4 linked regions of the Schizosaccharomyces pombe genome follow. The gene in region 1 interacts genetically with each later gene. Each region holds a gene or a part of one and is shown on either strand. Other genes may lie near its edges.

Region 1 (7,533 bases):
TCAGTAATCGATAAACACCTGTTTAAACCTAGTACTACTTATGTTTGTATAATCTATCGTATAGCCTCAGCTCCGACAACTCCGTTTTTACGATGGTAGATGCTAGATAATCACTGGTTAGAATATTTACGGCTTAAAATAATTAAATTTTTTTATTATAGATTCTTGATTTATTATGATGATTGCGCCTTCGGGGCTTTTTCCCTGTCCTGGATAGCCTCACCCTTACGTTGGAAATTAAGCTAAGGCCTAGTGTGTTGCATCCAAGTACACCTTACAACTAACGTCCACTAAAACACTCAAACCACATAATCATTTGTTAGTCGAAAGAAAGCCTGTAACTTCTATTAAATTATAGTAATTGGTTTTCTAAATTTTGTTGTTTTTGGTCGGCTACTGAATCGCAATTGGACTTCAATCTCTGTGGTGAATGCAGTGAAAACAAACTGAGATTTGTGTGGCATTTGTTAGTGAGGCTACAAATTGACTACATAAAAACTGCATAGTCCTTGCAATAAAAAAAATTTTATCTGTTCGGTCAATTCCTTGTGACAGGGTTATTTATCATGAATTCCCAAACGAGCGTAGTAGGGGTTCACTATCGCGTGGGTCGTAAAATAGGTGAGGGATCGTTTGGTGTTATTTTCGATGGGATGAATCTTTTGAATAACCAACTTATTGCTATAAAATTTGTATGTTCTTTGTTAGGATGAGTATATGGACAATACTAACAATGGACGTTAGGAACCCAAAAAGTCGGAGGCACCTCAGCTCCGTGATGAATACAGAACTTATAAATTACTAGTTGGAAATGGTATGTTTTTATTTTGCTACCCAAAACATATGGTCAAGACTTTGGTACTAACCGTATTTGCAAATAGCTGGCATTCCTAATGTTTACTATTTCGGGCAGGAAGGACTACATAATATCCTTGTTATTGATTTACTGGGACCTAGTTTAGAGGACCTATTTGAATGGTGCGGTCGTCGATTCAGTGTCAAAACGGTGGCTATGACGGCGAAACAGATGGTAAGTTTCCTAAGTTGTTCCTATAAGGTTTTCAATTTGTTTAAATTTTCTCTGACATTTCAAAGCTTTCCAGAGTTCAGACGATTCATGAAAAAAACCTTGTTTATAGAGACATCAAACCCGATAATTTCCTAATAGGCCGACCTTCCTCTCGAAATGCAAACATGGTATATATGGTTGATTTTGGTATGGCCAAATATTACCGTGATCCCAAAACCAAGCAACATATACCATATAGTGAACGTAAAAGCCTCTCGGGGACTGCGAGATATATGAGTATAAACACGCATCTTGGACGTGAACAATCCCGTCGCGATGACTTAGAATCGTTGGGACACGTCTTTATGTATTTTTTGAGGGGAAGTTTACCTTGGCAAGGATTGAAAGCTGCCAACAATAAGCACAAATACGAAAAGATTAGTGAAAAGAAGCAATCTACCTCCATTAGTGAGCTTTGTGCTGGATTTCCTAATGAATTCAGTAAATACATGACTTATGTGCGTTCGTTAGAATTTGATGAAGAACCGGATTATGCGTTTTTACAAGAGTTATTTGATGATGTACTTCGAGCAAATGGTGATACGAATGATGGGGTTTATGATTGGATGTTATTGAATGACGGTAAAGGTTGGGAGTCAAGCTCTTCTCATTTTTCTGTTGTTGCTATGAAGCGACGAAAGAATTACCTTGGCTTAAATGTTGTTCAAAATGATGATTCCAGAAAAAAGAACAGTACTTTGCAAACACAGAACATGCGATTTAAATCCTCATATGGGGTGAGAGGTCCTAGAAATTACTCATCGTTCGATGCGTTGCCGAGCAAAAACGCTCCATTGGTGCGTCAAGAACAGTCTGCTTCTAAAAAAACAATTTATGCTCATTCTTCTAGAGGTTACGATAGGGTTCGACCTATGTATGTATCTCAGCCCTCGAATAATGCAGTCGGAGTAAATCATCCTAACGATAATTCTGATTCGGAAGCAAAAGGAGGATTTTTTGATATGATATGCTGTCGTTGCTTTTCTTAGTTTCGAAGCTTCAACTATTGTTAGAGTCACTCACTTTCTTAACTTAAATAAGTGTTGTTCTACTATGCGGTAGATATGCTTTCACAATATCAATCATTTGATGATTTGGTTTTCAGAGTACGGGATAAATGGTTCATCTTTTTTTAATATTAATTTGAGAAACGCTGTATAGCGTCTTTGAGCGGGTGCTTAAATCAAATTCTTTAATTATTTCGATTGCAAATTTGCTGGCACTAGCCTACTTTGCTGGTTCTCGTTTAATCTTTTAATGTTGCTTTCCTTTAACATAACTCAATATTGTCTTAAAACTGACATTGTACTATTGTAGTAAATAATATATACATACACATATATAACCAAACCATATGTATTCTAGGTACTAACAATTGGTAAAATGACAACGGAAGCTAATTCGTTTTCAATTACAAATAAATAGAATAAAAGAAAGGAATTCTTTTTATACTGATTCGTGTAATATATTTTTTAGCTGGACATTCAAAAAATAAACTATACGTGTCTTAAAGTATTTGAACTGGACAAATGCCATATGATTTATTGGAAACTAGGTAATTTCTTTTGAGTAATGGTAAATCCCTTTTTAGTAAAGGAAACAATCAGCAACAAATAAAGAAAAAATTTTGACTTATTGGGTTATAATTACTGCAGCGTATACCTAATATGCTGTATACGACCTCTTCAAAAACTAACGCTAAAATCTGTCAAACCATAGTATGTAATTTTTATTTTTTTTTCTCTATGGCGTAGATATAATTTCGTATCAAGACTGTAGACTTGAAGTTTTAACCCAAGTTTTATCAGGTGTTAAATAGATCTCCCTTTTCTAACTTCTTAGTGCGTGCACATGCATGTGCATGTGTGTTAAACGATTTGAGTCTAAAATTGACAAGAGCGGCTTCGAAATATGATATCTAATAGCTCCATTGAGGATAGAATTAATAAAAATGAAGCATATATAGCCAAGTTTTTTGAAATGTGTGTGTAATTATAAGAATTTCTGTGTTTGTCGCCTGAAGTTTTAAAATTTAAAGTGAATGATTTATGAGTTTACTTACTAACTTTATTAGATTTTCTAAAAATGATAAAATTCGCTTCCATGGAGTCTCACTTGACCGAAAAGCACTTGACTCGTTTATGGTTAGAAACAATTTTAAAAAAAGGTTCGTATCTGGTATTAACCTACCCATTTTAATACGATTACATTTTTATAAGAAACTCTTTACCATTTTATGGCTAACAGTTAGAACGGTCGCTTTGTTATCTCATGCTAGAAACATACAATGTCTAATTCAGGAATCCGATGGCGATGCTAAAGACGTTGCTCGTTCCATTTATATTACTACGGCTGAGTTTCGGAATTATTTGTTGACTGAAAAAGGGTTTTACGTTACGACCAGGAGCATTTCACATTTTCGAGCAATATTAGACAGCATAAGATACCCTTTTGGAAAAGACCATGCTAGCAAGAACATGGAGCTTTTACCTATAGTAAGTTTTACATAAATTTTAAGCGGACTACTATGTAAGGGATCTTATCCAAAAGACGTATCTGCAATTTTTAGGGTTGATAATGTTATACCTTTGCATGTAGTTAAATTCAACGTTCGTTGATATAATATGCCAATGTTTAACACGTTTTCTTAATGATGCATACTAACCGACTACTTACTTAGACTTACGATCTCAGTTTTTGTACTGTTTTTCATGGTTATCTCACCAGTATACTGGAAGCTTATGAATTCTTTAGAGGTGTTTTCAAAAAGTATAAAGCTCCCTTGTCCTCTAACTTTATAGCAATAGGAAAGACCACGGACGAATCTAATTTCTCACAATTGCATCATTATTTCCAAAAGTTTGATGAAAGAATTCGTCGAATATTACATTTAATCTCTCAGGAGTTGGATGGATATTGTCGGATAGCGAAGCAGTAATTAATTTTATGTTCTTTTTATCAATTTTTATTCAGGATATGGGCTGCATTAAGTCGTACAACCATCTTTCATCTAATTTATTATATACTAATTTACATTGATTTGGCAAGTTCCTTAAAGAAAAGAGCCTTTCTCAATATGACAAGACTTTAGTTTGCGATTGTTTACCTTACACTTAACAGGTTTGTTTACATCAGCAAGTCCTTAATTGCTTTTCGCAAAAAAAGCTTTAAAAAAGCTATGAACTTTCAATTTATAAATTCAAATATAAACAATGAAGATAAATTGCCGATGGAGTCGTTGAAAAAGAAATTTTTAAAACAAAATCGTGAAATTATAAAGTAAGGTCAAAGTACACCATTTTTGAATCCCTTGTGGTAAATAATAAACATCTAACTTTCAGAATAAATACTCAGCTTTCTATAAAAATTAGAGAATCTGAAAACGAAATTCAAGATTTGATACAAGAAAATTTCACTTTGAAAAGTTATTTGGTTAAACTTGAAGCTCGATTTCGCAATCAATCTCAAACTGAGGACTTGTTAAAAAACTTCTTTCCTGAGATACAAACCATTCACAAAAAGATTTCACAAGTGCAAAGTTTACTGAAGATTATAGAGAAAAAGTGTTCATCAGATTTCCTCGAAGCGAATGTAAAAAGTCAATTTACAACCTGTGAAAATAAAGATTCGAAAGAAGATTATCAGATTTTGCATAATAAACGCTTGGAGTATGTATCATTTAATGATGAACTTAAAAGTCTCGAAACAGGGCAACCATTGTATTGTTTTCAAGATTTCCAAAAAAAAGTCCATGGTCCTCCGGCTCTATCTGAAAAACCTGGAAAATGTATATTAAAAGATAAAACCAATGCCCACGTAAACAAAATACCACAAGATGAGGTGAATTACTCATTGCCGCAAAAAAATATCACCATCTTTTCAAAGGAATTAAAAGAAAACGAATTTGAATCCATCAACGAGGGCGAAACTGAAGAAGAAAAGGCTAAAACATCAAATGTTTGTGTTTGTATTCCTTGTAAAAGTGCTGAACAGATAACTGACCTTAAAGGACAAGCAACCGGAGACAGCTCCCCATGTGATTTTGAAGAATCTCAACCAAGGATTAATGGACGTGAAAAACTAAGACGATCAGTCAAAGTGATAAACTATGCAATACCCAGTTTGCGAACTAAACTACGACGAGACTTTGACTTACCATCTGATAGAAAACGCAAACGACATCCCAGAGGCAAAGCATAAATTATATTGAGGTCACATTGTTAAATATTTTCACATTTATAGCACAGCTAATTTATAATTTAATCTACTGCAAGCAACATTTAAATTCAAGAGAAAAACAAAAAATAATAGAGGAAGAAAAAAAGAACCTAATCAAGGCTCATTTCTTTTACATAAACACATAATTAATCGGCCAATAAATACAAACCAACATTTAAACATAAGCTAAAAAAGTATGGAGACTTAGCCATTTAAGAAAAAGAAAAGAAAAAGGGCGTTAGATATTCTTTAAATAACCGTCATTAAAAAAAATCCAAATCAAAGCGTATTCGTATCGTTTCATATATATTTTTTATTTTGCTTTGGGTAAAACAAAAATCTCAAATAAGAGAGGAAAAAACCAAAAGGAAGGAATCTAAACTTCCCGGGAGCTTAATAGTAAGAACGGAAAACCTCCTCTTGGTTAACTTTGGGATGATCTGAAGGTCTAGGAGTAGCTTCGTAAATGGTTACAACAGGATCACCCTTGAAGGGAACAAAAGAACCACGAAGACCAATGTAGGCGATTTGTGTAGGATCATCAGAACCGTCGCTTTTGGTGAAGAAGATATTGAGATTTTGAAGGTTTTGATAGAGACGAGTCTTAACAGGAAACTCGAAGATATGGCTTCCTTCAAAAGTCAAGGGAAATTCAAATGTTTCAGTGGCTTGGACATCACCGATTGTGTCAAAATCCAAGTCGGTACGATTGGGAAAAAGTGAAAAGGAGTGTGGAGCGGTTTCATTAGGAAAAATGCGAACCAAAATTGATTTTAGTGTTGCCGCACCTGCAAACGGTACCTGAAACAAGAGTTGGTCATCAGCATCACTTTCTACGATATCAGTGTCATCATAACGAAGGTCCCAAGGTTTGAAGACGAGTTTTCCGGAATCTGGTACAGCTTCATTCAGCGTAACAATTGATTCCTTTCGGATGCAAGAATACAAGGTATCATTTGGACCAGACTCAAACGGATGTTCATCACAGTCAGCGGAACAATGGTGAGGGCCAGACATTTAGTACAAACTTCTAAGGAAATCGTTAAAAATGCAAGACTAGGCGAGTTGATAGGTGAATAAATAAACGGTAAACTCGCTAACAAAAAGTAAAAGGGAAAGTTATTTGCGAGCACACTAAGACGTAAGACCGACACTCGGAAGCAAATACTCAAACAAAACAACTAATAGGAAGAAAACCAAAAGCGGAAAAATATGGCGAAAAAGCCTCCCGAGACCAGAAGTACGTTATGCGTTAAAATATTTTTCTTAGAAGCTTTACTAGTCTTCAGCAAAAGAAAAACAAAAATGGAATCAAAATCAGAATTCAAAACTGAAAAGAAAGAATATAAAAGTAGTTTTTTAACGATGAATTATTTTATTGCTTTTTAAAAAATTTTGATTTTGAGACAATAACCGAAAACTCACTTTTGTACCAAAGAAACGTTGACAGTATAAGCAAACAACCTCCTTACTGACTTTTAAACACCAACTTGAAAATATTCGATGAATAGTATGAATACCAGAATTTTAAAAAATAAATAAAAGAAAATCTATACATAAATATAAAGGGGCCTTTTTGTTTTTTTTTTGGTTTTCTCGCAAAAAAAAGTTATTCAGTCGTAAATTTCTACGTGGTAGATGAAAGAAAGTGTAGAAATTTCAACGTTAAATTAGCGAGACTTTTGTAGCACTGTATGAGGAACAGAATTTCAAGGCATACGAACAACTAAGCTAAAAGGCCCATGAAAAAGACAACACCAAAGTTCTTCCTTGGTAACATTGTTTCTATCCAGGCGGGTAGGATGTGGGCCGTGTGGCGCTCATTGTAACAATATATATGTATAGGATTTTGATAAAAACCGGTTGCTTGAACATGCAAGAATAATGAACGGTGACACGTGACAAAGTTACAGCGCAGAAATACGGTGACAACCAAAGCAAGACCAAGGGAAAAGGTTCGCTATAGATGTGAAACAAGTCATGGAAAGAAGGGTGGGGGAGGGCAAGCCAAGGCTGGGGGTAGCGTAAAAGTATAACTTTGTATAATTTTACATTGAAGAAAGAAATGGCACGCCATATGTAACGTGTTTTCTTTTCCATGGTGAATGTTTATTAAGAGAAACATGGATATGCGTACATTCGGGATTACATTGGTGTGGGAGGATTGAACATTATGGATTTGATTATTTAGAGAAAAAAAAAAAAAAAAAGAAAGAAAGAGAACGTACTATTTTTTGGTTGACTTT
Region 2 (8,020 bases), 1.8 Mb from region 1:
GCATGCAAATGAGTATTGAACAAAGAGATGATCCTTCCAGAGGGATGTTGTAAACTAGCTGTAGCGACACCCTTTCCAACATACCAATCACCTCTCCAAAAAGCTTGAGGACGACCATTAAGTGGATACTTGTTCATAGAAGATTCAATGATAGGAAACTTCGAAAACATGGCAAGTCCAGCACCCATAGCAGCACTATGGAAAAACCTAGAATAGACAAGATTGCAGCTCACCAAGTTACGAATTTCCTGAAAATCGTAAATCGACCATACTTCTTGAAGAAGAACAATGTCATAATCGCACTTCGCAAGTTTTTCGCCAACAGCTTTCAAACGTTCAGTACGGTACTTGGAAACAAAGCGCAATCCCCAACAATTAAACGAGAGAACACGCAGTTCAGGGGCCTTTTCAACACTCATTGTTGCGAGGTTGGAATTAAAAAGAGATAAAGAAGGACGGAGTTATTGCCGTCAAATGGAACAGTAAAACGAATAGTTTATAATTTGTATGTAAAGAAATAATCTAACAAAGTTTATTAGCTTAAGAAGAAAGAGAATTTAAGAAAAAAATGGATAAAGAGACGAAATTGCTGAATTAGTATAAAAACAAACAAAAAGCACCATCGTGGTCTTAAACCAAGCCAATGTCATTAACAGCATGAATTATAAAGACTCTGTCTCTTTTCTTCCACGAAAGCAGAAGACCAGCAATTTTCGACAAAAAGCTCATAACAGTATTAAAGAAGTGTTTTGAGACATTAAAATACCAATTGCAACAATTACAGCCTCAATGCATTTCATTCATAACTTACCTGTAACTAAGCGACAATATGTGCTTATTAGAACACGTATTATTAAGAAATCAGGAAATTTCTGAATATATACAAGAGGAAAGGTGGCGTGTTAAGAAAGGAAACAAGAGCCTTGTGCTTAACTTAAGCCGTTATTGTACACAGAACTGCGTGATTTTTTACTAATGTCAGATGACTCCATTTCCGATGTGTTAAAGTTATTTATGTAACGCGTTATATTTCGGTAAATCTGTAAACATTGGAGTAGAAGTTATAAATACAACACTATGTGAACTTGAGTAAACATCCATATTCCAGTGTTAAAAATTGGTTTATTTTTTATTTAGTATCTTTTAAAAATCAATATTAAAGATAGTCTTTCTTCCCTTCTGAATTGTGGCGTTTTTAAAAATCGTTTTGTAAGTGTGTTTAAGTCATTCGAAAAAAATGGTATGAATAAACAAGTTGTTCCAAATTGCATAATGAAATGATTAGGTTATCTACTAAAATAATTTATTCAAATTTACTTTACCTATTGCAAGAATCACGAAGCGTTATTTATCGTTTCTCTTGACTTGCTACACTAGACGAGTAAGATAAAGGGAAAAAAGTAATCTTAAATTTTAGTAATTGCTGTTATCTATATCATATAAATTAATCGACAATTATGGGCGCCAGGTCTTTTTATTTCCTGGATGTTAACATTTGATATCTGCTCATCTTTATTTGATCAAACTTCGAATTGTTCAAATTTGAAAAACCTACTATTGCCAAAAGTTTAAACAATTTAATTCAGTGTCACGGTTAACAACTAATAATCTCACCTTCTCATTTCTACCTACAGAAAAGAATTATTTTCTTTCATTCATACTTATAAATTCATCTTTTCACTAACATGTTTAGGGTATGTGCATAGACCGTGTATATCTAAGGAGAACGCAACCACAGTAAACTAAGTCCTGCTAGTCACAGGTTTAAGTATTATAAAGTATTGGAAAGCGCCAGCATTTTAATTACTAATTTTGTTGTATTATTTTCCTTATTTATTAGATACTATGAGGAAAGAGTATCTCGTTAGCCATATAGAAGAAAATGCACATCAAGCAGACATTTACTCTCTCAATGTAGTCGCAGGCAATCTTTGGTCGGCTTCTGGGGATTCCAAAATAAAAAAATGGTCTATAGGTGATGCTGAGCATAGCTTAGTTGAAGAAATAGATACCCCTCATAAACTTGGCGTTCATCATCTAGCAACTAGCTTGGATGAAAACGTCGTCGTTTCTTGCGGATTTGGACAGGATGTTTATGTTTGGAATCCTGAAACTAATGAATTTCGAGACTTGGGTACGAATTACTTTACGAAGAAGCTATGCATTTCTCTAACGAATATGATTTAGGTAATAATGCTCAACATCCCAGCGAATGCTGGTCTTCTTGCATTAGCCCTGATGGACAAACGATTGCTTTCACATCTGTAGACGGGCGTATTGCTGTCTGGGACAATCCAAGTGATTGCAAAATTTCCGAGTTAGATACCAAAGGTAAATTCGGTCTTTGTATAGACTATTCTCCCAATGGAAGATTTATCGTTTCTGGTCATCAAACTGGGCAGCTTTTCCTTATAAGTACAGAAACAGGACGCTTGTTTCATGTACTATCGGGCCACACTTCCCCTGTACGATCAGTGGCGTTCTCTCCTGGTTCAACACTTTTAGCTGCTGCCGGGGATTCTAAAATGATTACTATCTACGACGTTTTATCAGGGGATCAAGTCGGCCAACTTCGTGGTCATGCTGCATGGATTTTTGCAGTAGCTTTCAATCCCGTAGGTGATTTGTTGCTTTCGGCTGATGTTGAAGGAAAAATCAAAATCTGGGATATTGACACCATGGAATGTATTAGTACACAAAGTGAAACGGATGGAGCTATTTGGGCTGTGGCATGGTATAAAAATGGGTTCATCGTCGCAGGTGCTGATAAAAGTATTCGTTGGTATAGAGCTGCTGCTACAGAATAATTGCACTCTTGTGCTTTCTTAATGACCGATGGAAAAGTTTTTAAAAAATAGCAAAAAATTAAGGAGTTTCTAATATTTGGATTAATTATGAATATCAACACTTTACTCGTAAAACGAAAGGATCTTGAAATGGATTATTTTAGGGTAACGCATTTTTCTTTTCACTTTCATCATTACAAGTATGTTTGTATCATTGTTTACTTTCGTTCGATACGCTTTTACTTTTTATATAAATTATCTAAGCATAAATTCCTAAGGAAATACGAATCTCATTCAAAGTTTCCATTGTATTTAAAACATGAGTTGACTCATAATATCTATAAAAGTTTATTTTTTATTTTATAGGTAATGGTTAGCTTAGTTTCTTATGTGTTTTAACTGTATTACATTACGTGCCTAGAAAGTTTACTCTCACATACGATAACGACGCAAACCGTTTAAAACCATGCACATACTGCATATGTTATAATCTTTACTTTGAAGACTTTTTGTAATTCAAGATTACTTTTTGTTGATAAATTTTCACACTAATGGCAGAAAATAATAAAAAGTCTACTGCTTACATCCAGAGGATGCGAACACTAAAATTTTATCAAAAAATGGCTTCTGCGCGAATCCCGATCACTGTGTACCTCCACGATCAACGAGAAGTAAAAGCAGAATTTGGAGCGATAGACAGTAGTGAGTCAAAGTTGGCAGTTTCCAATCTACAAACCGATTGGGGCGTTATTAACAGAGCGGTGATACGAACAGGAGACGTCGTGGGCATCGAATACAATTTGGTGCAGGAAGAAGGAGAACTTTGATGATACATTACGATTTTCAGATACAGAAGCCTTAACAGCCATGGTATTCAATTCAGTGTTTACAGATGAGAAAGCGTGATGTACATAGTATGCATAGTTGTATAGAAGCGCAACATAATTAATGTTATTTATTTAGGAGGAATATTAAAAATAATATCGTAATATTGTATATTTTGCTGGATTAAAGCAAATAACTTTTGCGTCAAACGGATGGTAAATCGTGAAGTTCATTAAACTTCCAAAGGATCAGAAGAATTAGTGTGCCACTGAAATTAAAAGCGGGAAGAAATGATCGCTTACACTGCAAATTTGTTCCAGTATTTTTTTAAAGGACACTCTCGATATCGTTTTCGAGATGTTCAGGCTTGCTAATACTGGAATAGCGTTCGATGACTTGACCTTGACGATTGACCAAGAACTTTTCAAAATTCCACTTAATACGCTCAAGGCCAAGTTGCTTCTTTTGGCTCTTCAAGAATTGATAAACAGGGTCGACGTTGTCGCCATTAACATTGATCTTGGCCAGTACAGGGAAGGTTACGCCATAGTTCTTTTGGCAAAATTGAGCGATTTCTTCGTCAGAACCGGGTTCTTGGTTTCCAAATTGATTGCAAGGGAATCCAAGGATGATAAATCCTCTATCCTTGTATTTCTGATACAACGCCTCAAGACCTTTGTATTGAGGAGTGAATCCACATTTGCTCGCTGTATTGACAACAAGGACCACTTTACCCTTCAAGTTGCTGAAAGGAAAAGGATTTCCATCCTTGTCCTTAGGAGCCAAGTCGTAGAAATGAGACATTTTAACTTACAAAACTCAATACTAATAGAATGAGTAGGTTGAAAGTAAGGTGTAGCGCGGCTGACCGTCCTACTTATGTTTCCAGCTGACCTTATTTCATAATGACATCAGACCTTAGTTTGGGTCAACACGATCTTTTAACAAGAGAAATTTACGTAAAATTAATAAAAATTCCAAGGAAGAAAAGTCGGATCGCATTTATCAAAAGAAATCTTATTTATTTAATCAGTCTCACATTCTTTTTCCTTTGTTTGCTGCTTTTAAAGTTAAAAAAAGGATATGTCGCAGTATACTGCCATTGTCTTTTGTCAACATACCACCAAAATGACAGAAATTTTTGCTGCTATTTAGTAAAAATATTTCAAATTTCGTATTTGTAAAGGTTATGCATAGAATGGCTGAGACTCATACTTAAACAGTATAGGTATCTAAACATTGTATGGGGCGATTGTAGCAGCAAACGATTAAGTAGTTTGCGTTAGTTACAACACCTAGTAATGGTTTGCTACCTTTTGTTTAAAATAATAGTAGACGAGATTGCCAATGGCCGATGTTGTTTATCTTAAAGTTGAAAGTGAAGCGAAACCTTTTTCTAACTTTAAGAGTGGGATTTCTTCCATCCAAAAGAATATGCACTGCAACAAGATATAGGACACAGGCAAATTATTTGACAAAAACAAGGAACCGTATAACTACTTTTTTACTTTAATCTACAAATAAATTAGTAGGATGTAGAAAAAGGTATCAGTGATAGATTATTTATGTATTATCTTAAAAGTATTGTTTTTTGCCCTTTGAAGGGCAAAAAGCAAAAAGGATCAAAATTATGCTCCAGCAGTGACTTGAACACTGGGCCTCTTGCTTACTAGGCAAGCGCTCTACCACTGAGCTACAAGAGCTAGTTGGAATCATTTGCTAAAAGGTATATATATATGCATAACTATTAAGAAATGCTCAGTATTTTTTTGAAATAGAAAATGTTGATATTCGGTTTCTATTATTAAGTTTTAAATTCCAAACATTGTAAATATGTCGTCGTTCTTTACATTCTTTTTTTAATAAATCTTGGTTTAAGTTAAAACCCAATTTTACAAGCTCGCAACTTTGTTGTTAATAAAAAAAAATGTTACACCTGCTAAATAAATATTAAAATCAAACTGTTGTTGTGTGGTATTACCTTATTGAGCTTAATTATAATTTCAGTAAAAATTTATGTTCAATTTTTTTTTTTACTTTCAATTAATTTATTTATTTATTAATTTGTAAAATATTTAGACCTTTGCCAAATAATTATTTGTTAATTTTTCATTTTCTACAATCTGTATTAATTAAGATAAAATTGTCTTCAAAAATACTTTTAGTTTTTGGAAAATCATTTGTTTCAGTGTTTGAGTATCCACATGAATTGTCTAATTTTATATCACTATTATTTTTTTATTCGAACACTCATAAATTGTGTCTATTGTGTTACTTTCAATTTTAATATTTACATTCAAAGTTGCATATATTTTTTACGAAATAATGTACTAAATGATTTAGAAATATTTAGATACGATAGTAATCAATACTAAATTTTATGACACATTCTAAATTCACTTACTTTGGCTTTCTAATTTCCTGTTAGAAAAATTGTCATTCCTAATTGAATTTTGCAGCAATGCTCGAATCAGCTCCAAGGTTGATAAATTTATAGTCAAGAAATATGTAATTATTTATAATAATCTAGTCTAGTTGACCTGGAAAATGTTTGCTTTTCTTACTACCAACCTTCTCTTATCGACCTACAGTTCACCCAAGCACAGCGAAATACCTCAAGATACCCTTCTTTTGAAAACCACCTATTTCAGCAAAAAATCTTTCGCGGTTGTACTTTTAAGTAAGAAGCAAACATCAAAGATTGTTTGCTCCTTCATTGTTTAATCATGGGCAGAGAAATCATTACGTTACAAGCTGGTCAATGTGGTAATCAAAGTATGTTCACCTATACTACTATTAATCAAATCGAAATTCTAATTACTCACAAACTTGTCTAGTTGGTTCACAATTCTGGCAACAGTTGTGTTTGGAACATGGCATTGGGCCTGATGGCACGCTAGAAAGTTTCGCAACTGAGGGTGTTGATCGAAAAGACGTTTTTTTCTACCAGGTTGGTTTATTGATACACTTTAAAGTTTCAACATGTTAACTCATTTTAGTCTGATGATACTAGATACATTCCTAGAGCCATTTTGATTGATCTGGAACCAAGAGTATGTTATCGCATCCTTTTATTAGTATTTGCTGAAATATTCAAGTGACTAATGTCCTCTTTACCTTAGGTGGTCAACAATATTCTAAGCGACACCTACGGCAGCCTTTATAATCCCGAAAATATACTTATTACCAAAAATGGAGGAGGTGCTGGCAATAATTGGGCTAATGGTTATTCGCATGCTGAGAGGATTTTTGAAGATATAATGGACATGATAGATCGTGAAGCTGATGGAAGTGATTCTCTAGAGGGTTTCTCGCTTTTACATTCTATCGCTGGTGGAACGGGTTCTGGGCTGGGCTCTTTCTTGCTTGAGAGATTAAACGATCGTTATCCCAAGAAGATTATCCAAACTTATTCAGTATTCCCTAATAGTCAATCCGTATCAGATGTTGTGGTTCAGCCTTACAACAGTCTTCTTGCATTGAAGCGACTGACATTGAATGCTGATTCTGTTGTTGTGTTGGACAATGCAGCACTTGCTCATATTGCTGCTGATCGGTTACATACTCAGAACCCTACGTTTCATCAACAAAACCAATTGGTAATTGATTTATATTAGGTCTTTTCATCAACTAACTATTCTAGGTTTCAACTGTTATGTCTGCCAGTACAACAACTTTAAGATATCCTGGCTACATGAACAACGATCTTGTCAGTATAATAGCTTCATTAATTCCAAGTCCTCGCTGTCACTTTTTACTAACCTCATACACTCCTTTTACCAATCAGCAAGTGGAAGAAGCAAAGGCCATTCGGAAAACTACCGTGCTTGATGTGATGAGAAGGTTGTTGTTGCCTAAAAACCAGATGGTTTCCGTCAATCCTAGCAAAAAGAGTTGCTTTATTAGTATTTTGGATATCATTCAAGGAGAAGCAGATCCGGCGGACGTTCACAAATCCTTGCTTCGCATAAGAGAACGACGATACGCTTCATTCATTCCTTGGGGACCAGCAAGTATACAAGTTGCACTTTCTAAAAAGTCGCCCTATATAAAAACGAACCACCGTGTTAGTGGACTTATGCTTGCAAATCACACTAGTATTGCCTCTGTATGTTTCTGCAAATTTTTTTTTGAGACATTTAATACTAATCTTTGTAGTTATTCAAGAGAACACTAGATCAATATGATCGTTTGCGGAAACGAAATGCCTTTTTAGAGCAATATAAAAAGGAGGCTATTTTCGAAGATGATCTTAACGAATTCGATTCTTCTCGGTAAGTATCTTGTCTTATAATTTCATATTTTGAGTTAATTTACTAATGTATTTGACAGCGACGTCGTTGCCGACTTGATCAATGAATACGAAGCTTGTGAAGATCCCAATTATTTATCTCTTTAAAAAATCCTTC
Region 3 (9,190 bases), on another chromosome or scaffold:
ACAGCATTCATGAAAAAAAATACTCAAACAACCGTCTTTTAGAGAATAACATTAATACTAAAAAGGTTGAAAATACTTTCTTGATAAATGCAACCGATTGCTTTTGGGTTTTCAATGAATGCTATTGAGTAAGTGGGATGATCACCAAGCTTTAGTTACTTAGGCCTTAGTAAGATTAGCATAAAATTAAATTAATTTAAAAGATGAAGCCGCCGAAATGCTGTCCGTCACTAAGTATGTTATTCTTCGACGAGTGAGGATTAATTACCCATAAAATTATTCAGCCTTAGAGGCTATCAAGTTCTTTTATTTTAAAAAGTTGGGACCAAAATATTTTTTTTATTGAAGATTCTTCAACTGCACAACTCCTAGTATTTCAACCCATGTAATTTTGCCTAAACAGTACTTGATAATACAATTTTTAAGATATTATATTATTTATTTAAGGATAACTATAATATTGGGATATGCAACGTTATTAAAAAAAAGCTTTAACAATTTTTTTAAAATATACTATACTTATAAGGATATCACAAAAAATTTTCGTTTGTATAATAAGATTAAAAAATTTACATTTTCAATATGATATCGTAATAAAACCGATATATTGCTAGAATGTTTGTAGCTCAGATTATCATTTATAAATAGGCGAAATGTCATTCTGTCTCATCAAGCTTACCCAAGTACATGCCATTAAGCTTTTAAAAATAACCGGATAATAGGGATCACATTCATGAAATACTTCAGCAAAAATCCTCATAGTTAATCATACTAGCGGCGGCTGTTTAATTTTTTCGATTAACCAACAGACAAACAAAGCACATGTTTAAGACAATTTTGGTTTTCTTACAAAAATATTTGATCGTGCCAAGACTCGAACTTGGGACCGTCTGCGAACTGTAAATGTTAAGCAGAAATTATAACCATCTAAACCACACGACCATGGATTATTCATTCAACACATAAAATATATCTAAACGGATTCTTAAATATATATATTGATAAAAATGATTATTTGTTATTTAATATCTACCTAGGAATTTGAAGTTCTTGGCTAGCATATTACCTGCAATTAATTACTATGTGAGTTTCCTTAAATATAGCCGACCAAATGACAATATATTGGGATCCAAATTTTACCCTCAATAAAATAATTCTGAGATCACACTTTTAAATTAATACAACATACGCTTCTTTTCCACACGGTAAACAAGATAACTAGTTGCTTGGCAAATTCAGCATATATTTTCGTCAAATCGAACAACACGTTGTAGAACAGCCATCTTGCTTTTGTTTATTAAGGCGGTATTTTTCCTCTACCTTTTTAGCAGTGGGATTAAAGTACTGTATAAGTAAATAGGGAAATATTATATGAAGTTAGAATCTCTCACTTACTTCATTTCAATTTATGGCATTTAAGCATTTACAAAGAGTGCTCCAGTACAAAAATATCTCAAACCAACATTCAAAAAAACTGCAAAACTAACGTCGTCTTTGTAAACCTTAAGTAGCTGTAAATAATCCAATTTTGCTTCTTAATCCGTACCCATCCCCTCAAAACACTTTTACAGGTTAGCTTGCGTGGGACAACAACCTCCACACTGCGGCATCAATACTCGATGGTAATCGACTAAAAGAGGTTGATCCCTTACTACACTTTAAAATAATGGATTTTATAAAATCAGCAGCTTCTTTTATTGCAAAAGCAGGTTCTCAATTCCCATATGACTTAAATGAGAAAATCCCTCTTTCTTCTAATTCTGTATGGACACTACAAACGGGATCAATTAGAGTAAGAGACAACGCTTTTCTTTATTCTAGTACTTACAATTTTAATGTAGGAGTCTGCCCAGCCGTGTAGCGTTTTCTCTATTTCTCTGTCAACTCATCCTGAATGGGCTGAACTTGCTGACCGAGCTTGTGAGACAATGAAGACCCTTCGTCATCCTTGTATAATCAAATATCTAAGTACTTATAAAAGCGTAAGTCTAATCTAAGCCTTTACATATTTTTCCTATTTACTAATAGTTCAGTCCACTCACTTGTACATTGCAACGGAAACTGTAAGACCTGTCACAACTGAACTGAATGAACTATCTGCGGAAATAAAAACTTACGGCCTTTGGAGGGTTTCGGTATGTAATTTGAGTTCAAAATGTGGATTAAAACTAATTTAAACGTGTTTAGGCTGCATTGTCATTTCTCAATGATAAAAATATTGTTCATGGAAACCTTCAAATGTCTTCTGTTTATCTTAATAGTGCAGATGAATGGATAATAGGCGACTTTTTCTTAGCAGGTGATTCACCACAATTTATAAAGGATAATCATGACAAAATTCTGAACTGGAGTCGGTTGGTTCCGTTTGAAATTCAGTCTTCAACATTAAATAGTGCTTCATTCATTTACTTGGATTCTTATGAATTGGGAAAGTTCATTTCTCATCTTTATAATGGAACGCCAGGGGACTTATCTCAGCGTGGAAACATTCCAGCCAATATATTTGTTTCTGCAAAAAAACTGTTGAATGTGGAAGGAAAGCAAAAGTTATTAGCTTCAGAATTTCTAAAACTTGGCGAGCGTCCTGGGGGGTTTTTTCGTACACATTTGATTACGTTATATGAACTTTTGTCCGAGGTTCGAATAAACGAAGAGGAAGATAGAGTGAAATTAAAACAACTTCTTTCGTCAAAGCTAGAAGTAATTCCTAAAAACTATATACAAAAGGTTGTATTAAACATCCTCTTTCTACTATTATCGATTGACACCCATTCGGACGTCGTTGAGCTTCTATTCAAATGTGCTCAAATTGTAAAAGGAAGACCGGATATAGAAAAAGACTTTGGAGTACCGTTATTGTCTCTTTTGAAACAACAAAGCGTTCCCATACGAGGCTTGCTACTTTCCGGAATCATTAACAATCCCGACGTGCTACCAAAGAATATATATGAAGACACTAGCTTTTCAGTTTTCGCGAACCTTGTGCGCTCCAATTCTCCCACCTTAAAAGAACATGCTATTGTTGTTTTTTCCATTATAGCACCAAAAGTAAGCCATCTTATCTTACAAATTGCTAATTAGTATACAGCTTTCGAAGAAAACATTGAATAATGAACTACTACGAAGCTTAGCGGTTGTCCAAAATGACCAACATCCTACTTTACGTACCAACAGTACCATTTGTCTAGGTAAAATTGCTGAATATTTAGATGCCAGCGTAAGACTAAGAAGAACTAAACGTTAGGACTTTATTTTTAACAGATTTAGGTGCGAAAACCCGTTTTAGCTGCTGCTTTATCACGTTCTCTTAAAGACCCATTTGTTCCTGCTAGAGAGGCAGCCTTAAAAGTACTCCTCTCAGTTCAAAATTACTTTGATACAAAGGATGTGGCCATCAAACTTTTCCCATCGGTGGTGCCATTACTAATTGATGAAAACGAGTAAGATTTTTTTGAACCTGTATACCACTTAGGAATTACTAACTTTTTGACGTTATTAGAGGAATACGAAGAACAGCTGAGGATGTCACTGACCAATTTTTGAGCCGTATAAAAAACTTTAATTTAGGGGAAAAAGAAAATGTTTCCGCACCGGCAAAATTTAATGGTTCTTTTTGGTCCAAATTTATTCATTCATCTTCTGCTTCTCCTTCGCCTTCTATCGATATGAAAAAGGAGTCGCTTGAGTTAAAAAATGATACCACTGAAATAAAAGAAAAAAAAAATTCAAAAAGTAGAGTTGTTGGAAACACTGAAAACTCTAAGGATGAATTCAATAATCCTCTTTTTGAAACAGAGGAACAGATAGACGAATCTTGGATGGAAAACTGGAATGACGAAGAGGAAACAGAAAATAACGTAGAGGAAAGTTGGGGGTTATAATTTGATTGAATTTAATTAATAATTTTTCGTGGTCAAGATTAATTCACGACTAAATCACATGTCGACTAAGTACTCCATGTACTACTCGTTTTGACATATTTCAATCAAGCTTGATTTTTAATAATTAATATTTTTAATAGCTAATTATTTTTCTCTTTGAACATTTATTAATACCACTGAAAGGATTAGTGAATGGTAGTTCTTTCTTTAGTTATCTATCTATTCGTAAATTCAAAGTATAGTAAATGTAAAAGGATTTTAATGTTCTTTTCAAAGAGTGTATCATTAGTAGTCAAATAATTCGTACTTCGACTATCCAGCACCTCTACACCTTGTTGATAATGATACTGCTGTACAGCCGCGTTTAAGTACTAAACCTCCACCGGGAACGTGGTCAATGAAGTACATCGGGATTTTCTATTTATAATGTCGAAAGCATCTCTTTCCCCGAACGTAGAAGACTGTACGTGATACTTATATTAATCTCAACTGATGAATTAGTGAAAAAAAAGCAAATTCGACAGTATAAGGAAATTATACGGTACGCATACATTTTTGTTGGAATTGAATAATTAATTAACACATACAAAGAATAAGCAAGGCACAATCAATTAGAATTAAAGAATTGCAGTTAGAAAATGAACGGTTGCTTTCGGAAAATATCGATTTGAGGACTACAGCGATAAACTTGGAAGAGCAACTCGAAACCGTGCAAAACGAAAACGAAGAAAACAAAACAAAGTTAGCTGCATTACTTAATCGATTTCATGAAGAAACAGATAATTTTTTATCAAAATTAAGTCTTTGTCAGCAAGAAATACAAGGTACGTGTTTGAATTCATATCGTTTTTAGCTAATTGAACACAGACACCTTCAAACCAGTGGAGGCTAACTTAGCTTACGATGTCGATACGGATTCTGAAGACCTTGACGAGGTAAGTTGAATCGTATTATGTTTTTCAGATATGTTTATCTAACGTCTGAAAGGAATCCGTCGTGAAAGATACCGAAGAAATAATTGAGCAAGCTCAGCATGATGTTTCCTTACGAAATTTAAGTGGAATAGAGGATGAAAATATAATTGATGACGGAGAAACTGCTATAAATGAACAAAAAAAAAGAGAAGCTAATGTTTTTTCCGACACGCAATCAGCACCTCAGCTAAAATCCGGCAAAGCCCTCCCAGCTGATTTTGAAAATCCTTACAATCTATCCAATTCGAAACCTGTAAATAATAATAATGAAGATAGAGTTGAAGCGGTTACTTCTGAAAATAAATCTATCGATTCTGCTCCTCAGGAAAAAAATCATGAATACGAAATCGTTAGTCCAAAATCATTATCCAACAAAATTAATAATCAAGCAGCTGCACAAAGAAGAACCGAAGAAGATAATGCAAATGGAGTTGCTCAAGAAGAAAATGAGGGTTCACAAGAAGCTCATTTTCATAGCAGAATACAATCTGATACAGTAATACAAAGTACACCCACTAAACGGAAATGGGACGTTGACATTCAAAATAAACAAATTAATCTGGCTTCTGCAGCTACCAATGTTACCGGTTATGTATCGGAGACCGATAGTCGCCCCAATCGCGCAAACTCTTTGGATTCTGCTGTCCTTCTTGTGCAATCTTCAAATAAAAGTAACCGAAATGGGCATCATATTTCAGATCCTAATTTAAATAGCTCCATATCGTTGAAGTTTGCGCCTGAAGATACTGCGCATAATTCATTAACTTCACAAGAGAATGTTGGGCCTCAGGTTACGACGACTTCTCTGTCAAATATGACTGTTGCTGAATCTCCTCGTACAGACACTCCAAGGGAAATAAACGGGTTAGTAGACTCTTCTGTCACTAATGGGAACGAAAAATTTTCTGTAGAAATAATGAATGACTCTAACAAAATTGGACTGAATCCTAAATCTTTTACCGACGAAGAGCGGGAAATTTTAACACTTTTTCGAAATCCTCCCATGAGACTGTCAAGTGAACCTCCATCTTCAAATGGATTTTCAATAGCCCATCCCAATAATTCTCCGTTACGTCCGCCATCGCTACAAGGAATATTGAATGCTGAAGATCGACCTTACGAAATTGAGCCGTCACGTAGCTCCTTTGCTACCAACGATACGGGCTCCTATAATAATTTGGAACTTCTGTCATCTGTAACGAATTTGAAATCCCCTAATGAGAACGATCGTGTGACGAAAACTCAGTCGCGAAGAGAAACAAAAGTGAAAAGGCGAAGAAAAGCTCGGATTCAAGAAACTTCTGAAGAAAGTACAGTAGTCAATGAGCCAAATGAAAAACCTGATGGAAGGAGCCGAAGGGAACGGAAAAAGGTTAATTACGCTTTGCCTGGATTAAGGACGAAATTAAGACGGAATTTCGATTTACCTTCAGATCATGTAAAAGCTAAAAAAACGAGACGTGCTCCTAAGAACTCTGAGAATGATTCAGCTACCAAAACAGAAACCGCAAACATTACTTCTGAAGCACCCACTACTTCAGAAGTAACCCTTGAAAACTCCGAAACCCTTAATTTGTAATATTATGTAATTAAATACCTTTCGACATCGTTTAGTTGGTTCAGATTTTTTAAGTGGAGGTATGCGTCAATTTGAAATAAAAAGTCAATATTTTGGGAGTTAACCTTTGGTATTTCATATTACTTCTTTCTTTGTTTATTCACATTTTGTTCTTGTCATTAACGTTATGTACAAATATATGGTTTGGTTAGTTAAATACAATAAACAGGTGTGTAAATATATTATAAAATTACTTAGCAATCCTCACAAATTCAATTTACTATGTACCTTAGCACATTCATCAAGTAGTCCATTTCTAGTGTACCTCGATCGCCCTCGGTGGAAGTACTAACCTACGCAACTGAGTCTAATAAGTCAATATTCTTATGTTTTGTATATAACAAACCTAATTGGTTTTGTGTTTTCTCTTATGTTTATTGTTTTAAGTTTAAGTTGAACTTTCAATCCTTTTTTTGCGATTAGGATCATTGCTTTACTCATCTATTGGGACCAATGTTTAATAACGGCGATAATATGTCTCGTGAACGTTTTTCTTCCAATCATTCAATGCAAAGACAAAAGACTGAATCTCGAGCAAATTTTTCTCGAAGATTAGTCCCTTCCGACTCAAATCGGAAGCCTGTACCTAATGGCGCGTCCAACAGCCCTTTGTCAAGAGATGCAGCGTCTCATTTAATTAGTACAATCGAGACATCGATAATGAAGCTTTTAGTTGTAACAAAGGAGCTTCTTGAAAGCTTAACAAACTGGAGCAAAGGTACAGTTAATGATAGTGCTGTTTCATCCGTTTATGTTACTCTAATAGGGGAATTCCTTCAGACAACCAAGTCCTTTCATGAAGCTGGTATTGAAACTGCAGATTTAAATGATTTTCCGCTAGAACTCAGATCAGTCCTAGAGCAAACACTGGAAAAAACACCATCTTCTGATGCTTTGGAGACCAATCTTCCTAACGTAAGGGAGCTGGTTATGCACCTCCTACAAAGCTTGAAGTATAAGCAATCTCTGGTTAAATCCAGATTAAATCAATCTAGGTCAAATTTGCCTCAAATGACCCGTGAAGCGAATGATAACGATGTTAATCGCCGTAATAGTCGTGGTTCTTCCCAAGGAAGCATATCATCATTTAGAAATCCTGATTCGAGAAAGCAATATGAAGAAACTACGAGTGCCTCATTAAGTGCTCCTGGAGCCTTTGATGCATTGAAGCAGACAAATGCTCTCGAACGCCGAGCTAGCAAACGACTGTCACACATGGTAAAAGACCAGCAAAACAATGAGGGATCTTCTCAGAATTTGAGGAATATCACTGTTGAATCTGTCAGAGGCTTTCTTCGTGATTCCTCAAAGCCAGACAATATAATGGACTCACCGTCTCCCAAAGTATCTAAAAGGCCATCTATCGTTAGACAAGATAGTCATGATTCAAATAAGCTTTCAAGAAGACCTACAATAAATACAAGTTTTGATAGAAAGTTTTCACCAAAACTTACTAGAACACCTTCTTTGACTAAATCATTAGATCCTGGAACACCCACTTCTTTAAAAAGCCCTTCTCTTCGAAAAAGCCCCAGTTCTTTCGTACAAAAGGATGTATACTCTCGTTCTAACTCTTTAAGAATAAGTCAAGCAAATCGAAGTAATGTTTTTCCGGGTGCAACTGATGTAACTAGAAGCGTGTCTGATCATAGAATATTAAGTAGCTCAACCATCAATGACGGAGAAGTCGCTCCGCCACTTCCCCAACGATCAAGGACTATCTCTTCCCCTAATAGCCCATTATCTGCTACAGTCCTTCCATCTAGTACTCCGATTTTATTGCCCAGAGGTCGTTCTTCAACACTATCTGTTAACAAAAAACAATTTAATGCAGATGATGGTTCTACGTTGAATTCGCCGAATTCCATTCGTGAAACTGAAGAATATGCTGCTTCGCCAAAATTGGAAGATATCGCTGATGAGGTTGAGACGGATGCCACAAGTCAGAGGGAACTCCTCGAAAGACAAATTCAAAAAGCAGAATCCTCAGAAGATACCTCTGAAATTGAAAGCTTACAAGGTAAACTTTCATTACCCCAAGTTTCATCTACTCAACAGGAAATACAACCTAGCAGTAGCGTCCCTGAAGCAGCTTCAAATGAAATTGCAGAAAAAGAACCTGCTGTTACTGCAATTGAATCAATAACTGAAAGAAAGGAAGAAGCCCCGGTGATATCTAGTTCTGAAAAAATTGAATCTGGTACGAGTATAAGCACTTCAGATACAAAAGGAGGTTTAGCAAATTTTGAAAACGATTCCTTAGAAGAGCTGGAAAGACTTATACAACAAAACAATGCTGAACAAGATGAACCATCTTATAAATTCCATAAATATGAATATTCATCCGAAGAGTCTGGTTCTGAAGATGAGTTTAAGAGCGAGAAAGATACAAAAGGCTATGTAATCTCTAACGATGACTCGACACAGGTTGAAGAGGATTCAGAAGATAAATCGACTCCAAATACAGGCGCATCTGCCAAATTAATTAACGACCCTTCATCTACTATCACTGTATCTGATGTCTACCCTAAGAAACCTGCCTCTCCTGTTGAAATAACGGAGCCGCCATCCTCGGCTCTTGTATCTGCTACTTCTCCTACTACTAATGTTCCCATCGTTCCCGAGGCCGTCCACCTATCTACCGCTTTTTCTACTGCTCCTGTATCTACGATTGTTTCCAATATTTCTCCTTTACCTACCGTTGCTCCACCTAATGT
Region 4 (7,041 bases), on another chromosome or scaffold:
GAAATTGCATGGTTGAATGGACGTTGTGTTGAACCAGGTATCGAGAGAGAGTACGGTCCAGCTACAGTTAGTATGGAACCTGAAATCAAAACCGAGGTCTTCAAAAGCTTTTTTAACTCCATGCCAAAAGAATTTGAGGTTTGGATGTCTCATGGCGACAGACTAAGCGCTCTTCCCAATGGCTATGAAACAATTGGACGCACCAAGAATTCTCCTTTCGCTGTCATTGCACATGTTACAAAGCCCATCATTGGTTTGCAATTCCATCCTGAAGTTACTCACACTCCATTAGGTTTGCAACTTATTAAGAACTTTGCCATTGAAATCTGCCATGCTAAGCCCAACTGGAGTATGGAAAATTTCGTTGATAAAGAAATTCTTCGTATTCGTAAAATGATTGGACCAAGTGATCATGTCATTGGTGCTGTTTCTGGTGGTGTAGATTCAACAGTTGCTTCAAAGGTTCTGAAAGAGGCTATTGGAGATCGGTTCCATGCCATTATGGTTGACAATGGCTTGCTGCGTCTTAATGAAGCAGAGATTGTTCGTGAAACCCTCAATAAGCATTTAGGAATTCAATTAACAGTAGTTGATGCTTCTGAAGAGTTCATTGGAAAACTGAAAGGTGTTACTGATCCCGAGAAGAAGCGAAAGATCATTGGTAACACGTTTATTCATGTTTTTGAACGAGAGGCTGAGCGAATTGTTAAAGAAACCAACGGTAAAGTTGAATACTTATTGCAGGGAACATTATATCCTGATGTCATAGAAAGTATTTCTTTCAAGGGCCCTTCTCAGACAATCAAAACCCACCATAATGTTGGCGGTCTTTTGAAGGACATGAAGCTCAAACTTATTGAACCCCTTCGTGAGCTCTTCAAAGACGAAGTTCGTGCTTTGGGTGAATTACTTGGTATTGAACATAGCCTTGTCTGGCGTCATCCTTTCCCAGGCCCTGGTTTGGGCATTCGTATCCTTGGCGAAGTTAATGCTGCTCAGCTTGAAATTGCGCGTAAAGCCGACCACATTTTTATTACTGAAATTCGTAACCACGGCTATTATGATAAAATTTCTCAAGCTTTCGCTGCTCTTTTACCGGTAAAGGCTGTCGGTGTTATGGGTGACAAGCGTACTCATGAACAAGTAATTGCTCTTCGTGCTATTACCACTTCTGATTTTATGACAGCTGATTGGTACGATGGGTTTAGCATTAAGTTTTTGAAGTTGGTCAGCTCCCGTATTTGCAACGAAGTGTCTGGTGTTAATCGTGTATTGTATGACATTAGCAGTAAGCCTCCGGCAACTGTCGAAATGGAGTAATAATGTTCCTAACAGCATACGGTACCTTTTGTTACATCTTTTATACTTTTGGTTAGAAATTTGTTTAGTTCTTGGATTCTAGTGGCAGGTAGTAGTAAATAAGTTTAGATGAGGTTAAATAATAAACATCTAACAGCTTAAAAAATTTATGAGTAGGCATGTGCCCGAGTGTATGTTTTGAAATTATCAATTCGGTGCTAAGACCGTCCTATTGAAAATAAATACTAGACGTTTTCATTAGGTCCTGCTGGTTTCATTCTTAACACTTGTATAAATGCGCTCTTTAGAAGAGGAACTTACTAAACTTTGTACGCAAATAGTAGAAAACTCAATTATTTAAAGAAGTAGAGATATCCAGTAGTATGCGTTTATTCCGAAATTGAGCATTAAAATTCACATATTAAGAAAAAAAAATCAAAACCAAAATCTTTTACTATTATTTAAATAACATATCCTATCATCTAACATTTCTTGTAATACTTATAAAGTGACCAATTTACATAAACATATCGGATGAACCAGGTGGCATGAAGTCATCATTGTCAGGTTCACCGGGAAATTGAGATCGCGGGCCTTTAAAAGGAAATTGAGGTTTCCTCTCATCCCTGCCGAATCCACGAAAATCACCAGGGCCTGTGGGATCGTAACGAGCTCCTGGTGGTATATTAGTTCGGTTTGCTGAAGCTTGTTCATTTCGAGACCTGTTTTCAGGATGAAAAATAGGATGATTGAATGTAGGAATCATACCTCCATCGTTGCCCATATCAGATCCTCCGATTCCTGCTGGATACAAATCACTTGCTCCTATAGAAGGAAACATTGGTTGTGAGCCAGGCATTGCACCAAATGGTCCAGCAAACCCAAATGGAGCTCTGCTCTTCTCCTGATATGATTCATAATTTAACTCATTAGCCGAGGTATCTTTAGCGGTACGTGCAGCATGTTCAGCAAGCCGATTATCTGTATCAACTGGACAAACCTCTGCAACTAAAGATTCCAAATTCCAAGGCTGATCATCATCTAAACGGAAAATCCTTGTAGCTGTGATATTTGATGAAGTATTAGCACACAAAATATAAATCCATTTATTCCAAAATATTAAACGAGTAGAAACATTCTGAGACTCATTTACAATGTAGTTGAATTCACTGTCTTCAGTTAAGCTTTCAGTGACTTCTTGCAAAACATCTCCGTTTCGTAATTTACAGTTTTTAAATATCGCCCCAGTGTTTAGCATGGATTTATGGCATTTTTGTTGGAAGCGTAAACGATCGTCGGAAGTCGGGTTATTCATGATCAGTGAAAAATAATATAAATAAATATATACGAAAAACCAATTGTATTACTTGGGTTCAGTGAACAAAGGAAAAGTACATCACTTTGTACGTACTGTGTGTGTGTCTTCGTGAGGTCGCTTCTGTTGTGTCATTTATATTACCAAGTGGCAATCAATGCATGGCGACTACTAGAGGTGATGAGATTGAAGTCAAATGATTTCACTATTAAACTTGGTATATAGTAAGTAGAAAAGTAATCTGGCTAAATAACTTTTTCCAAAAAAAAGCACACACTGTGTGTTTTGCAACTGAAGAAAACTTGCTGTTCAAAGTGAGCAGGAAACTAGAAACTGATTGAAGATAAAGATACCTTTAATGTTATAATAGAATTGTTTTGCAACTGCACATTCAGTTCGTTATCTCGTTTCCCTAAAAAATAATATTGTAAAGTCGTTCGCTATATAAATCCTAAAGATAATCATAAAATTGAAGATTTGTTTTCCTTAAGCTCTGCTATCATCTTCGTCAAAGTGCCTGAGCTACGAAGTTTGTTCAAATCGGAATTGCCTTTATATAATGTATTAGTAATAAACAACAGAGAAAAACCAACGAGAATATTAATGGTCAAGGAAAACAAATTTGGGTTCATACCTCCAATGAATTGGTTGCGAAAGAATATGCTGGGTACTGTAGACTGTTTGGTCTTTTCATGTAAATAAGCTGCTCAGGTAAGCATATGATAAAATCAGTTTGTTAACTAAACACACCTTGGATGTCAGATCCATTTTCTAGTGTAACATCAAGTTAGTTAAAAAGGATGAAAAGCAGAACAAAAAACTTGAAATGTTTCGCTATTTCTCAAGATCATGGAAGGAAACAAAAATTTTCGTAGTTTCATTACACAATTATGAGGTTTCGAAAACCCAATTAGACTATTATTTCATATACTTAATTTATGTAGACATAACTCAAGAAACTTTACAATCGATCAACTGAATCTTCAGCTCTTAAACAAATGAAGAATACCATACTTACCTATTTTATCTAACTCATAAGCCTTATACGGAGCAGAGTACTTTGTAAGAGTATTTTTGGCTGCTTTGCAGAAAGGACAGAACGATTTACTAAAGACAGTAACCGGATTGTTTGAGATCGCCTTTTCAACAAAAGCTTTTGCTATAGAAGTCATTTCAGCTTAAATAGGTATTCGTCTAAAAATGCAGTGGATATTGGTGACAAGTAATACAGTATGACTATCGAGGTGTTGGGCTACCTAACACCAAACGACACGATTAGGCAGTTAGATGTGATAAACAAAAACTCGAAATTACAAGAGTTATTTCGAAATATATTTAGTACACCAGTAAGCGAGTACAATCAAATGTTAAATACGCTATCACGAAGTTATAACTGCAGTATCGTACACTACACCCTAATTCACTAATTAGAAATAACGGTATATATTTTATTAGTTGTTCAATGCAAGAGATTGAACGGTTTTTGCTAGTTCGTCGTTGGTTTCTGGTGTATCGAATTTCAAAGTAGAAAAATCTTTGCTAAAAATTGTTAGTAACCTAGATAGTTGTGATGACGTTGAACAGTCATATATTGTCTGAAACAACGTAGGTAATTATACAGAAGTTGACCAAACTAAAGAAAGAACGATTGTCACAAAGATTGTATATAGTTTTTGGAAAGAATACTCATTAAACGATCCATGCAACCATCCCCAACCTAGTTTTTACAACAAAGTACTTACTGCATAGCATAAGCATCTTCACCATCAGCATAATATTTGCTTTCAATCCCTTGAACGCTAAAATAATGTTAGAATCTCTTCAATGATGGCGAGTAAAAACATACTCAAATTGCAAAGTATCACGATAAAGATGAATAGCAGCTCTGTTGCTTTTACGAACATGAAGACTCATATATTTGGCGCCATAAACTTCGACCATGGCTCTTTCTGTTCATTTAAGTAGTTAGTATCTTTTACTTTTTTTAAAAAAATTTTGTTTAAGGAATGGACCGAAAATATCAAGGAATCAGCAGGAAGGAAACATTGTCGAAAACAAATTAGGTAAAAAAAATGAATTGTTGCAAGGAAAAAACCAACTCACCAAATGAACAATTCAAAGTATTAGCAGACCAAGTCTTGCACAAAATAAAATATATACATATTGGAATAATCATCGATAACAACTGCAAAAAAGCTTAAGATTTCCCTCTAGCTCCTCCTTGGATATATCCGTAATCTACTTCGCTCTCAATTAACACTTACGACTTTGAACCATGAGACGTTTAGCAAGTCCTAGATGACGATAGGAGCGCATTACTGAGACACTTGTGATATGACCATGAGGGATCCCATCCTTAGGCTCTTCTTCCATTTTTGCAAGAACATATCCTACGACACGTCCTTTCGGATCAGTAGCAACATAAGAAAGCATAGGCCAAGAAATAGCATGATAAAGGTCTACATTAAATTAGAAAATAAGAATCATTGTTTTAATACTGGAAGTTCATTGCCGTGCAGCAAGAATTACAATGAATTGAACTTACAATATTTTAACTGATAATTTTCAGGCAAGTTATGTAAGTTGCAGTTCTGCATCCCAGTAAGGTCACTTATACGAGCTGGCCGAATATCCATCTTGCCAATCGTTTAATTTTTAGCAATATCTATGATTTTTGTTTGTTAGTGGTTGGAATCAAATTTCCAGCATACCATATTTTAAGAAAGCGCAGTGAATGTAAAACGAAATTCAGGGAATGCAAAGCAACTACTGCAAAGCTTTTAGAAATGATAAGATTCATTTGATGTTAATATTATCTGTCAAGTATTTTAACGTCAAATATTTACTGCTTTGCTAAAAAAACTATGTTTTTTGGAGACTCACAATGTTCGACGTTAAGCTCCTTTTAAGTTACAAGCCGTTTAGTACACATTGCATAACCAAATTTCTAATTACTTAATGTTGCGTTTCCTAAGTTGTTTTGATTTTCAATGCAGATGATGAGAAATCCTTATTATAAATAGACAATGATGTTTACGATGGATTGCACACTTAAAGACATTAAATCAAAACTTTATATTAATTAGCCATTAATTATATAATCTAAGTTAATACTTATAATCACCATAACATATTTTGTTTACTGTGGAATCAAAAAGGATTAGCGATGCTTGATTGAATCCTTTATTATCTTAAAGTCACACTACCTTGGTTTTCCTTTAAAAGTTTTAACAGCAGCCTTGTGGTTTCACTTAGGCTAAGTAAACTCAACGAAAAAACATTAAGATTTGTTATTCGTAAATTCAGCTAGTAGACCTCGAACATTAGGTTTTCCCATTGGTAAAAATGTAAACAAAACCGCATTAATCATATAAAACATTAAGCGAAAAAAAACAATAGATTGCATTTATGGCTATAAATAATGAAAACGAATTAGAGTATAAATTAATAAAAAAAAACAAGAATCCTAAAATATCAAATTCAAAAAAAAAGAATTCGACACGTCCAGCTTTACAAGACAAAACTAATCAAACATTACCAATTCATCAAAATCAAGCCTTTTCAAACATTCTTCCATCTGATTTTTCAATAATTAAGACACCTGAGACAAAAACTGCTGACGATTTCCCCGTAAATGGTTACGAAGGCTTAAACATTTTAAAATTTGATCTCGAGTTATTTTACAAACTTAAACCTGTAGCAACGTCGACCCCGAAGTCTTGCATGAGGACGGGCTCCAATTTATTTTTAAATGAAACTGTTAAACATGTTCCAGATGAACGGTTAGTTTCAAACATCAAGAATACCCAAACAAAGGACTCTATCACAAGAGATTCTGCGTATTATCACAGAAAAACTATGACAGAAAGCATAATCAAAACACTCGCTGCATTTGATGCTGAGGTTGATGAGATTATATTGTTTTAAATCTCTAACTGACACTGGAATATAATCGTACTTTTCAAGTACTAACGCATCTATTTTTCATATGATATATTTATTAAAAAAGATTTACAAACCTGCTTTACAAATCAACCTTGACTACGATTTTATTTATACATATCGATCAGGACAAACGATAGCATGTTCAACAATATTTGACGCGAAAGGCCGACAAAGAAAAGTGGATAAAGTCAGCGCATAAATTTAACCTTCAAACATTTCTTTCATTTTAAAAAAGCAAGTAAGGAAAGCACATACTTTTCGGTAGTCTACATACTCGGTAAATTAAGATACGGATTATGCTATAATAAACAGAAAAACATCTAATTATCATTTAACACTTCTTTACGATGAAAAGACCGCATATTCCGTGGTTCAATCGTATATTTCATGAGATTATTCTGGTTTTCTGTACTGCATTTTTTCAACCCGGACCTCTCCATCAAAAATCCTATAAACATAAAGTATTAAAACTGCTCCTTGAA

The links.
Region 2: of sgo1 (region 1) and rec14, changing one enhances a phenotype caused by changing the other (phenotypic enhancement), as found in Schizosaccharomyces pombe (one study listed by BioGRID).
Region 3: of sgo1 (region 1) and sgo2, changing one enhances a phenotype caused by changing the other (phenotypic enhancement), as found in Schizosaccharomyces pombe (one study listed by BioGRID).
Region 4: of sgo1 (region 1) and moa1, changing one enhances a phenotype caused by changing the other (phenotypic enhancement), as found in Schizosaccharomyces pombe (2 studies listed by BioGRID).

Annotation. Positions count from the first base shown.
Region 1 is NC_003423.3:965,482-973,014, reverse strand, and holds sgo1 (shugoshin Sgo1), read left to right. Parts: upstream 1-4,247; coding exon 4,248-4,348; exon of another isoform or gene 4,349-4,410; coding exon 4,411-5,269; 3' UTR 5,270-5,279; downstream 5,280-7,533. Other genes in the region: serine/threonine protein kinase (CK1 family) Cki2, read left to right, coding at 567-692, 745-814, 882-1,030, 1,096-2,058; SPOM_SPBP35G2.04C (uncharacterized protein), read left to right, coding at 2,981-3,051, 3,144-3,564, 3,750-4,007; poteasome interacting protein Txc1, read right to left, coding at 5,681-6,304.
Region 2 is NC_003423.3:2,785,133-2,793,152, forward strand, and holds rec14 (Ski complex WD repeat subunit Ski8), read left to right. Parts: upstream 1-1,762; 5' UTR 1,763-1,845; coding exon 1,846-2,134; exon of another isoform or gene 2,135-2,187; coding exon 2,188-2,807; 3' UTR 2,808-3,274; downstream 3,275-8,020. Other genes in the region: inositol phosphosphingolipid phospholipase C Css1, read right to left, coding at 1-419; protein Gem7, read left to right, coding at 3,338-3,613; H2O2 scavenger glutathione peroxidase Gpx1, read right to left, coding at 3,939-4,415; gamma-tubulin Gtb1, read left to right, coding at 6,338-6,386, 6,449-6,561, 6,611-6,664, 6,734-7,210, 7,255-7,719, 7,770-7,885, 7,944-8,010. UniProt on the Schizosaccharomyces pombe protein: Required for formation of the rec12-mediated double-strand breaks (DSBs) that initiate meiotic recombination.
Region 3 is NC_003424.3:3,709,880-3,719,069, forward strand, and holds sgo2 (shugoshin Sgo2), read left to right. Parts: upstream 1-4,262; 5' UTR 4,263-4,307; coding exon 4,308-4,344; exon of another isoform or gene 4,345-4,382; coding exon 4,383-4,422; exon of another isoform or gene 4,423-4,472; coding exon 4,473-4,705; exon of another isoform or gene 4,706-4,748; coding exon 4,749-4,816; exon of another isoform or gene 4,817-4,868; coding exon 4,869-6,434; 3' UTR 6,435-6,706; downstream 6,707-9,190. Other genes in the region: protein kinase domain and HEAT repeat protein Ppk3, read left to right, coding at 1,667-1,792, 1,842-1,982, 2,034-2,135, 2,188-3,048, 3,089-3,217, 3,268-3,440, 3,500-3,881; bud6 (actin-interacting protein 3), read left to right, coding at 6,927-9,190. UniProt on the Schizosaccharomyces pombe protein: Involved in chromosome cohesion during mitosis and meiosis by preventing premature dissociation of cohesin complex from centromeres after prophase, when most of cohesin complex dissociates from chromosomes arms.
Region 4 is NC_003424.3:3,728,016-3,735,056, reverse strand, and holds moa1 (meikin), read left to right. Parts: upstream 1-6,022; coding exon 6,023-6,541; downstream 6,542-7,041. Other genes in the region: GMP synthase Gua2, read left to right, coding at 1-1,320; fub1 (PI31 proteasome inhibitor domain-containing protein), read right to left, coding at 1,817-2,614; glutaredoxin Grx2, read right to left, coding at 3,076-3,164, 3,249-3,317, 3,365-3,385, 3,633-3,786; NatA N-acetyltransferase complex catalytic subunit Naa10, read right to left, coding at 4,066-4,153, 4,357-4,413, 4,461-4,563, 4,879-5,073, 5,160-5,250; retromer complex subunit Vps29, read right to left, coding at 6,953-7,041. UniProt on the Schizosaccharomyces pombe protein: Plays an important role in chromosome segregation during meiosis I by allowing meiotic rec8 to establish cohesion at the centromeric central core and thereby promote the side-by-side structure of kinetochores at meiosis I.